Linked DNA regions of Danio rerio. The protein of the gene in region 2 interacts with the protein of the main gene of each other region in a biochemical or structural test. Links are inferred from orthologs where the notes say so. Each region holds a gene or a part of one and is shown on either strand. Other genes may lie near its edges.

Region 1 (4,998 bases), on a different chromosome or scaffold from region 2:
CCCGAAACTGAAAGCGATACGTGACTTTTAAGGGGTTGTTTCATATGGATTTATTAATCATTCTTACTGTTCAGTGATCGCAAACTGCCGTAGTTTATTAAAGACGCAATCCCCTCACTGCACGCCAGCTGCGCGCCTTCAGCAGACCTCCTTATTCCTGCAGCACGAGAGCTTTATGATTGTTTATGAGCGCCAACAGTGGCGGATCTGTCCGGTGAAATATCTGACTGCGTGTCACCGCATCCCTAAGGACTGTTTGGCAAAATATTTGACTGCATGTCAATGCATAACAAACGACTGAAACAATATAACTAGAGAAATCTCCACAGTGCTACTGGGTGAGAGCGTATGGCAAGCCGTTTTAGCATTTAAACCTTGTTCTGACTATCCATAAATATATTTAGAGATATCTCTAATTATATTTTGAGTAGTCATAATTCTAATTCGACTAGTTAGATTGGAGATATCTGCAAATATATTATGACTGATTAGTCATATTCCTCCATTGACTTCCATTGAAAAATATTTGCAGATATCTCTAAATAAGTTTTGACTAGTCACAATTGTAATTAGAGATATCTCCAAATGAATTTTGACTAGTCAAACATCCAATTCAAGATATCTACAACTATAATTCGACTATTTGTAAATTAATTAGAGATATCTTCAAATATATTTGTAAATATCTCTAAATATGACGAATTAAAGACATCTCCAAATGTATTATGACTAGTAAAAACTCCGTTAGAGATATCTCTAATTACAATTGTTACTAGTCAAAATTCATTTGGAGATATCTCTAATTACAATTGTGACTAGTCAAAACTCTTTTAGAGATATCTGCAAATATTTTTCAATAGAAGTCAATGGAGGAATATGACTAGTCACAATATATTTGCAGATATCTCCAATCTGATTTCGTACTAGTACAATTGTAATTGCAGATATCTCTAATTGTCATTCTGAGTAGTGGAATTATAATTATGACGCAAGCGTGCCGAGGCCCGATATGGTGTGAGCGCGGGCCGTCGGGGGAGACGGGGGAGAAAGCGTGCTTTACCCCGGTTCGAGGCAACTGTACCTAGTGTGAGTACGGCCTAAGGCATTGATATGTGCTTTTATATGTACTAATAAAATTATATTCATATTGCTACACACAGATATGCACATTTTTTTCCCCATATATCTGTATTTGTGTGCGTGGTTAGCGATATGAATATAATTTCACAAAATCACTTAAGTAATAAGTAAAATAAGTAGTAAGGAAATAATTCATTGTTTTACATTGACTGGGATGATTTTGTACGAAAGTGCATCTGCATAAAAATATAGACAAAATAAAAGAAACTTATTAAAGCAGAGATGAGTAACTAAAGCTAAACAAAATTAAATAAACAGCTCTAACGGTGTTGAGGTACAGACATTAAATAATCAACTGAAAAATAACACTACATAGTCTTTATTGTAAAAATAATGCTAAAAACTTTTAATAAATAGTAAAAAAAACAAGTTTAATTGAAGTGGAAAACTTTATAATGGTTTAAATTTGTCTGAAATCTTAGTCACAGGCCTTAAAGTCATCCAAAAACATATCACACCATTAGATTAGGGTTTAACTCTGACTTCACAATTTAGGCATTCTAAACTTTGGTTACTGGTTAATTATAATCCCCTATTTGCATTGCAAATCTTGCAATGTGACTGTTGCTGGTTTGCACAATATATTTTGCGGCCCGAATTTGTCATTTAGCCAGTGGCTATAACCTAAACTATTTATAAATTTTTTGTAGAATAATTGTAGTTAACAATTCTTATGTGTGATGATTAAAATCTTTAAACTAGCTAAAATAAATGGTCCTTCACAAGTTGTCTGCCACGCAATTTAATGAATACCATTTGTTTTTCTTTGAAGCTGGTACAAGCTGGTGGATAAGCATGGGAAGCAAGAGAAGGACCGTGGGGAAGTTATGCTGGACATTCAGTTCATGAGGAATAACATGACAGCCAGCATGTTTGACCTCTCCATGACAGAGAAGCCTCGCTCTGGAATCGCTAAGCTCAAGGATAAAATTCGTGGAAAGAAGAAAGACGGCCTGTCAGATTCTGCTTCTGCGATTGTGCCCTCATCAATGGAAACAGACAGCGAAGGAGAAGGAGAGGGCAGTTCAGACTCTCCAAAGAAGAAATCAAAGCTGAAATCCCTGTTTGGGCCAAAAACTAACCTCCAAAGGAATGTGTCTCAGTCCATGTCAACCCTCGGCACCCTACCTGAGAAGAACAGTTCACTTAGCAGCAGCAGATCATCAGGCCTTAATGTGGATTCTCCTGATGGTAAAATAAATGATTATGCATCTTGTTAAGAATACTTTATTTTTATTTATTTTTATTATTATTATTCTTAGGTGAGTTTTGTTATTGTAAGCTATTGAGTACTTATTGTAAGTACAAAGTAAAAAAACATTTAGGCCATGTGTAATTTGTAAAACATTCATTCTTAAATCATTTCAAAACGTTTTAATATAGATATTAAGGAGCATGTCACACTGTAGAATAGAGTAGTGGTTCTCAACCACGTTCCTGAAGGACCACCAGCACTGCATGTTTTGGGTGTCTCTTTTGTCTGTCACACCAATTTAAGGTCTTCAGTCTCTGCTAATAAGCTGATGATCTGAATCTGGCAAGTTTGCTTAAAGGTCCATGAACCCCCCTCTCTCAGCAAGGTGTTTTCACACCTCTTACTTTTGAAAAAGTAAGGAAAGTGGGTGTGTCCAGTTTTGCATGAAAAGGGGAGTCTCATTATGTGCAGGAGTTCTCTCCACCAGATTCCCTTCAGTCACATTATCTGGTTGATGACAGTGCGATCCACTGCTTTATCATTTTTACATTTTTAACCTTTCATGGCATCGTCAATCGGCCCAACCCTACACTGCACTGATTTTTTTGTGATCTTATTTGACTCTGTTGTAATCTTAGAATGATATCTGTTGTGAAAACATTGGTCTGGCACCCCACCTCTCTTTGCACTTCGGGTTCAGAGGACGGATGTAACTGTTGTACAACCGTTTAAAAAGACACAGAACAAAGCATTTTCAGTCTTTAATATTGTAGTAATATTACCTGGAAAAACTGGAATAAAGCATTTAACAGATTGTTTTAATGCACTCTTTTTTTTGATTAAACTTAATCACTAACATGTCAAAAACTTAAATGTTAAACATTAGCATACAAAAACAATACTATCAGTGCTTATTACAGGATTTAAATATACTTGCGGTGGTAGCTGGATTAAAACACACCATTTACCCACATAAATAGTTACCTATATGTGGCAAACAAAACATTACATTTTTTACAATACTTTAATTCATTATGACAATGTTATACACTGTTTACTTTCAATGGGTTAAAGTAAAAAAAAAAAAAAAAAAAAACTTACAAAAAGACATCCACTTTCTCTTACCTATTAAGGAGCCATGAGCACCACTGATTGTTATTTCTATGTTATAATTTGTTTAATAATGTTTATAACATTTAGAATAACATTTTTTTCTGCTTTATGTTTTTATTCTTAACTTATGTGTGCTTGAATAATAATAAAAAAGTATTTATAATTTATGTATTATTTTATGTATTTATTATTGTATCTGTTGATAAAGACTGATGGGATCAATACTAAGTAATGGCTGCTGACAACTGAAAATTGAGTAGTATTATATATTATGGTTAGTAAACCCTGTATAATATTGTAATAGATAAATGACAAATTCATAAAATAAATTAAATCCTCAAAATGTGCTGTTAGGTAAGAATCCTTGTAAGATATCACTATAAAAGCTATAATTGTGAGATAGCATTTTACTGTAGTCAGTTGAAAAATCACACAATTCCTAATTATAATAACAGAGCAATATATCACTTTACATCATCTTCCATTCACACAAAAAAATATTTACAGAAGTAAGGCGGAGTAGCCATAATATTTTTAAATCGGCATGGATCGGAAAGGTTTCATAACAGAAATTCATTAGGTTGAATAGAAGTTATCTCAATCAATTTGGACCAAAAGCCAACAAATATATTTTGCTTAGTTATGTAATTGCCTCCACAATAAATATTATTTTAACAATGTTAAACTCGTCATAAAAAAAGAGAAAATAATATGTTGAAAATAGTGTATACTGCTAGTTTTTTTGGACAACATTAAAGTATGTAGCTAAGAAATATATATAAAGAAATCCATTGGCCCAACGGGGCCATTAGATATAATCATTAGTGTTTAGCCCTGTATAAGCCTAAAATTTCATTCACAATGGTCTTTTAGGAAGGTTCCTAAAAAGTCTTACATTTGACTTGAAACCTGCAGAAACCCTGTTTATGGCTTTACAAGCAGAGGAATATGCATTTTAACTTCTTATGCATCAAAAATGCGCTCCAAACTTTTTCTTCATTGAGGCATGTTGAATTATTCTTCCATCATTTGGCCAAGTTTACAAATTGCATTGTTTCCGAATTAAAAAAAAAAAATTGTTTATTATTTTCTGCAAAGCTGCTTCTGATCATGATGTGTCCACACTAAATGGTTATAAGGGACGTGTTAAAGGGATTATATGCAACATCTTTCATTTATTCTTTTAGGAAAGGAGAAAGCTCTACTTAACGTACTTGGAGGGAAAATGTGCTTTATGCAGTGTTAAAGTTATATAAAGCTTGAAGCAGTGGCCGATAAGCATGAAATTTCTGATCAGAGCATCCCTATTTATAGCTTTGTTGAGTAGAAAATACTAAAACTTTTCCCTTATCTTTTTCCTCCTACAGTGAAAAAGAAGTTTAAAATTCTGGGACACAAGCGCACTGACAGCTCGGATAGCAAAGTGTCACTTGGCCCTTTTTCTCTTCTGAGTCGCTCTAAACAGAACATCCAGGAGCAGAATAACCTCTGTATCAACGGCAGCCATGTTTATGCAGAGGATCAAGAACCCAAAGCCAGCTTTGGCTCCA
Region 2 (5,795 bases):
TGCTCAAAAACTCAAAGATGTACCCTCCAGAGCCTCTTTTTTCTGTTTTATGATGCATGAAATAAATGCTTACACAACGATAATGCACAAGTGTCATTCTGCACAGTAACGTCAAAAAAAAAGGTGTTAATTAATCTATAGTCTCAAATATGCTTAACTATATCAGTGTACAATATTGTTTGTCTTTGCCATTGTGTTTAAGTTGTGTTTTGGAGGAATATCACAAGATTAAAATAACTTCTATAGAGATCTTTGCTATGAACAGGCAGTTAAACTTTAAAACTGGAATCTGTAATAAGTCTTACGCTGAAGTGATGGCTCGGTAGCGCTCCTGTCCTGCCGTGTCCCAGATCTGAGCCTTGACGGTCTTTCCATCCACCTGAATGCTACGTGTGGCGAACTCCACTCCAATAGTGCTTTTGCTCTCGAGGTTGAATTCATTGCGAGTGAAACGAGACAGCAGGTTACTCTTCCCCACACCAGAGTCTCCAATTAGGACCACTTCAAAATAAAACACAACATGGTGTAATATCTGACATAGATCACATAACAAATTAGGCTTCTCACATTATTTACTCAAGCCTTGTGTCTTTCCAAACTACTACACTGATTAAATAAACGATTCTGTGATGAAGAAAATACTAAAACATAAAAAAACATTAAACAATAAAGTCAGCAATGAAAATCAATATTCTAAATTACTGCTCAATAAAATTTCTAAAAAGTATATTTTTCTTTGAATCCTTTGTTGTTTTGGTCGTGACTCCCAAATATATATGAAAGCAATAACAATAAATATCAACTTTCTGAAACTGTTGTTCCCAACACACCCTGGAGCATTTTGCACTTTCCAGTTTTCCAGGTAAATTTACACTGCCATTTCATTGCTGTTGTTGTCAGGTATTATAAATTGAGTTTATGACATCTGCAGTTCATTTTCTACTCAAAATGACATTCACACTCAAACAATAGAGAAACTGTGATAGGAAATCAACTATTTACATGTTTTCAAGAAAAGCGAGCATAAAAAAAAATCTAATTTTACTTAATTCCACACATACAATTCATTGTTTAACAAATTTTGGAGCGCAAAAACTCAAAAAAGAAACTACATTTTACATAGTCATTTTTCAGCATACAAGACTTCTGATATGCTTCAAAATTCAACTTAAAACTTTCTACGTAAAACATGAGAATTTTATCAAAATGTTGACAGTTTGTTTACCATATTTGATTGACTCTAAATATGCATGTCCGTCAGTATTAAAATATGACAACCAATCAAAATGGGTTCATCATATAAAACAATAACTTCTCTTCAAAAGCACTGGATTTAAGAGCCTGATAAATTTAGAGTGCTAATGAACAGGCATGGGCTGGTGTAAGATTCTGGTGGTATGATAATCTTGGATAAAACATCACGGTTTCACAGTATAGTGATCACTGCTCTAAAATATATTCTTTTTAAATGTCTGGGTAAAAAACAAAAACTTTTCCCCCTCTGAACACAATACATCATTTTATTTTAAGAAATATTTAAAATATTTTGGAACTGTAAACATGTCAGGCTAAATTCAAATGGATCATTGGCTGTGTCCGAAATGTGTCTATACTTCTATATCATAAATTACGCTAAAACAGTATGAGACCGGACCAGTGTGTCCAAATTCATAGAATTCAAAAAACAGTATATGCGAGAATTGTGCATTCGATACACACTGTGCTATCTCATAATGCCCTGTGGGAGAATTTTTGAATGAGAGTGAAGCGACGCAACTTATACAGGTAGGTCACGTAATCATGACAAAATGGAGTATGTAGTACATCCGAGTTCCATTCATACTGTACAGAATATACTTTTTAAACAGCAGATTTAGTAGTACATTTAAATTCAAATGCAGTATCTACTGAGTAGTAGGCGATTTCGGAGGCAGCCATTGACTTCTGCTGTATTCCTTTTTTATAGTTATTTTTTAGGGTTTTTTCACTTTTATTTGAAAGGACAGTAAAGTTTGCAGACAGGAAAGTATTGGGAGCAGAGGGGAAGGGTCAGCAAAGGACCTTGAGCCAGGAATTGAACTCGGGTCGACATGAGCACCATGGTGCAATGTCAGCACACTTCACCACTAGGCTATTGGCACGGACAGACTTCTGCTTTACTCGTTAGTTTCAAAAACACAGATTTCTTTACGAATCAAAAGAGCATCTTCGAAAAAAAAAATGTTTTAAAAAAATCTTATATAATATATCTTAAATGGTATAGCAGAATATTTTGGCAGTTTCAAAACCTTTTCTGAACCACAGTTTACCTTGAAAACGGTTATCGTGCCAGATCTACTTATGAATTTCATAAATTGTCAGTTTTTATTAGATGGACTTTCAGTGAAGGGATCTGTCAAATTTATTTTCAATTCAAAGATGAATGGAAATGTTGGTTTGAATGACATGAGGGTGAGTAAACGATTGCCACATTTTAATTTTTAAGTTAAATGACTCTTTACACAAACACTTCTGTCTACATTAAATAAAGGAACAAACCTCTTCACACTCAGAGCTCTATGTCACAACACACCACACAACATCATTTGAGAGAAGTACATTTAAATAAATGGCAAAAAATATATATATATATTTATTTATTTCACAATGTGGGTGAGATTACCATTTTTGGTGACATTTTTTGACATTTTGTTATGACAGAAACTGGTGGAGATTTCCGAGTGGTTCTGGGCTTACGTGAAGACAGGTAGAGGTAGCTAGTTTACTATCACTACGATTCACGTGACAGCACAGAACTTCTTAAATGACTACATGTGTCTCACAGAAGTGAAAACATACGTAATGAGTCAACTGTGCTGCAAATATGACTAAACTTATTGTTTCAAGAGCTTATTCCAAATGATAGAAACTCCACATTTGCTTAATGAAAGAAAAACGATGAGCAACATATTCGAGAAAAACAGGCCGCATCACCTGACATCTAGTATTTACTTCCAAGACAACAAACTGACACAAATAATTATCTATTTAAAAGAACAGTTCATCCAAATTGAAGAAATTCCTTCGTTGTTCAAGTTGCTTCAATGTCATATGATGTTTTTTATCTCGGTGGAATACAAAAGGAGATGTTAAACGTCATGACAGCGTCGGTCACAGTTCAGTTTTAGTATATGAACTAAGATATAATGACAGCGAACGGTGGTTTAAGTATATCAAAATATATTATGGCCAAAAAAACAACAAAGACACACAGGCTTGAAAAAACATTCGGGAATACAGGCCGTTTCCCATTTCCGCCTGCTCCGTTAAACTCATCCAGCGACAGTGTCAGCTAACTTCAGCTAGCCGCTTCAAGGTGTGGTCGGATCTCTGGAAAACTGTGTTTTTTATGCTAACCAACATCTATATTAACCCAATGCACAGTAACTAAATAATATTATACATATAACGATACAGACTCAAATACGCTACTCCAGCCGAAGAGCAGGAGTTTGTTTGGGCTGCTCGAAGTGAGCTAGCCGGTTAGCTGGCCTTTACTGTTTAATATAAAACCACACTAACTAACAATAACCACGATGATCGGAGACGCTTTAACTTGTACAGTCGCGACAAAAGTATTACGTACTTACCTTTAAACAAGTAGTCGTATTCGTCGTCTCGTGTCCCCATCTCGATCAAAACAAAAGCGCAAACAATGGAAGAATGTGAAGGAAAGTGGAGGCGACCCGTCGCTGTCCTCTCCGCTGCGGCACTGCAGTCTGTCTGTGATTAGGCAGTAGCCATGCTAACGGCTTAGCGAGCAGGCGAACCAGAGAACATCTCCTCAAGTGTTCCGGGTGAGGGCCCTTACAGACTGTCAAAATAAAAGCAGGATTATTTATTATTTTTATTCATTGTGTATTATTTCTGTTCACCAAGGGCATTTTATATAATGAAGTATAAGACATATGTTTTTGTAAGGAACCACCGTCTCAATTGAGCCAATTTATTATGGAGCCAGATCAGTCTCAAAAATAATACATTTACAAAATATGATTCATATATTCACAAAACAATACACATTTACAAAATCCAATTTGTATGTTCTAAACACAATTCGTAAATACATAAATCCAATTCATAAAATTAAAAACACAGTTCATAAATAGAAATCAAATTCACAAATTCAAAACACAATTTATAAATGCACAAATTCAATTATTAAATTCAAAACATGATTCATAAATGCACAAATCCAGCTCGTAAGTTCAAAACATGATTCATAAATACACAAATCCAGTTAGTAAGTTCAAAACATGATTAATAATTGCACAAATCCAATTTGTAAGTTCAACACACAATTCATAAATACACAAATCGATTCCTAAGTTCAAAACACGATTCATATATACACAAATCCAATTCATTTGGCGAAAATATTAGGATGTTTACTTGTAAAATCACAAATTGTGTGTAAATCCAAATTGGATTTTGTAAATGTGAATTGTGCTATGCATGTATGAATCCTATTTTGTAAATGTATTTTTAGACTGATCTGACTCCATAATTTATACTATAAAGAGAGAAAAATATTTGGTTTCATTTAAGTTACATTGTAACACGCTTATTTGCTTATTTGCTTATTTGCCGTATTTTATTTATTTATTTTTTTCACTTGTATCTATTTTGTAATAAATTCATTCCACGTGAAAAAGTACTATATTAATATATAATAAAAACTACGTTGTTCCATAGTCTTTTATAGTAAAGTATATTCAACAGTATATATTATAATATTTACAACACTTAGATAGGGAATGCTTCAGTAAGCTGTAATGTTAATTGTCATCTGATAAACTGTCATAAATACTTTAATATAATTTTTTTTTAATACAGCAAACTGTGGTGGTGTATTGTAGTATAATGTAACATATCGTTGTGGAAAACTACAGTATTTGTGTCGTTTGCTTATATTAGCATATTTTTCGTGTTACAAGAGCAACTATAGAGTAACCAAAACCGATTGTAATTCAAGTATTTTACTGCAGTACAATACTACAGCATTTACTATAAATTTTACAGTTTTTTATTGTGCCTTATTTTTTCTTATTTACTCATATTTTTAGGTGAATAACTTAATAATTGTTATCATTTTAATTGTACAATATACAGCTCATGTTTTGGATGTTAATGGCCGCTTTTACATATACAATCTTTTTCTGGTACTGGTAAATTGCAGTAAAGAGATCATGTGTGAACAGGCCCTTTTAAAATGCCAGAAATTGTGTTCCTTTTTTTTTTTTTTTTTTGCAATGAGAAGTTGTAACATGACCAGGAAATAGCAGGAATTCTGCTGTGTGTGTGAAAGCAGGAGGAAAATTGTTGGTATGAGCCACATACAAGTTCAGTGGTACATTCACTCCACAATGCTGACGGAAATAAACGCCTTTGCCCAGACATAATTATTTGCTGCTTATTAATCAGACAATGCTCATGTTCCTTCCTACTGTAGAAAACAATGTCACAGATAGTAACGATATTGAGAATCGATATGTTAAAGGGGAAAGGAAAACTATGAATTGTTGATGTGAATTTGAGTAAATGATGAAGAAATTTTTGTGTGAACTATCCCTTTAAAAGGGACCACCATTCTAAAATAGCTATACTATGCTCAGAGATAAGCAGCATGGTGGCACAGTGGGTTGAACGATCGCCTCGAAGCAAGAAGGTCACAGGTTTGAGCCCTGGCTGGGTCAGTTGGCACTTCTTAATGGAGTTTGCAAATTCTCCCTGTGTTTGTGTGGCTTTCCTCTGAG

What was found. The genes of interacting proteins can lie anywhere in the genome.
Region 1: the proteins of rab11a (region 2) and rab11fip1a form a complex in vitro, tested with the Homo sapiens proteins (2 studies listed by BioGRID, with this or other methods). The link is inferred for Danio rerio from reciprocal best matches to the Homo sapiens genes RAB11A and RAB11FIP1.

What each region holds. Positions count from the first base shown.
Region 1 is NC_133183.1:44,885,292-44,890,289, reverse strand, and holds part of rab11fip1a (uncharacterized protein rab11fip1a), read left to right. Parts: intron 1-1,912; coding exon 1,913-2,331; intron 2,332-4,815; coding exon 4,816-4,998. UniProt on the Homo sapiens protein: A Rab11 effector protein involved in the endosomal recycling process. Also involved in controlling membrane trafficking along the phagocytic pathway and in phagocytosis. Interaction with RAB14 may function in the process of neurite formation.
Region 2 is NC_133193.1:20,515,459-20,521,253, reverse strand, and holds the start of rab11a (ras-related protein Rab-11A), read right to left. Parts: upstream 3,790-5,795; 5' UTR 3,670-3,789; coding exon 3,630-3,669; intron 502-3,629; coding exon 306-501; intron 1-305. UniProt on the Homo sapiens protein: The small GTPases Rab are key regulators of intracellular membrane trafficking, from the formation of transport vesicles to their fusion with membranes.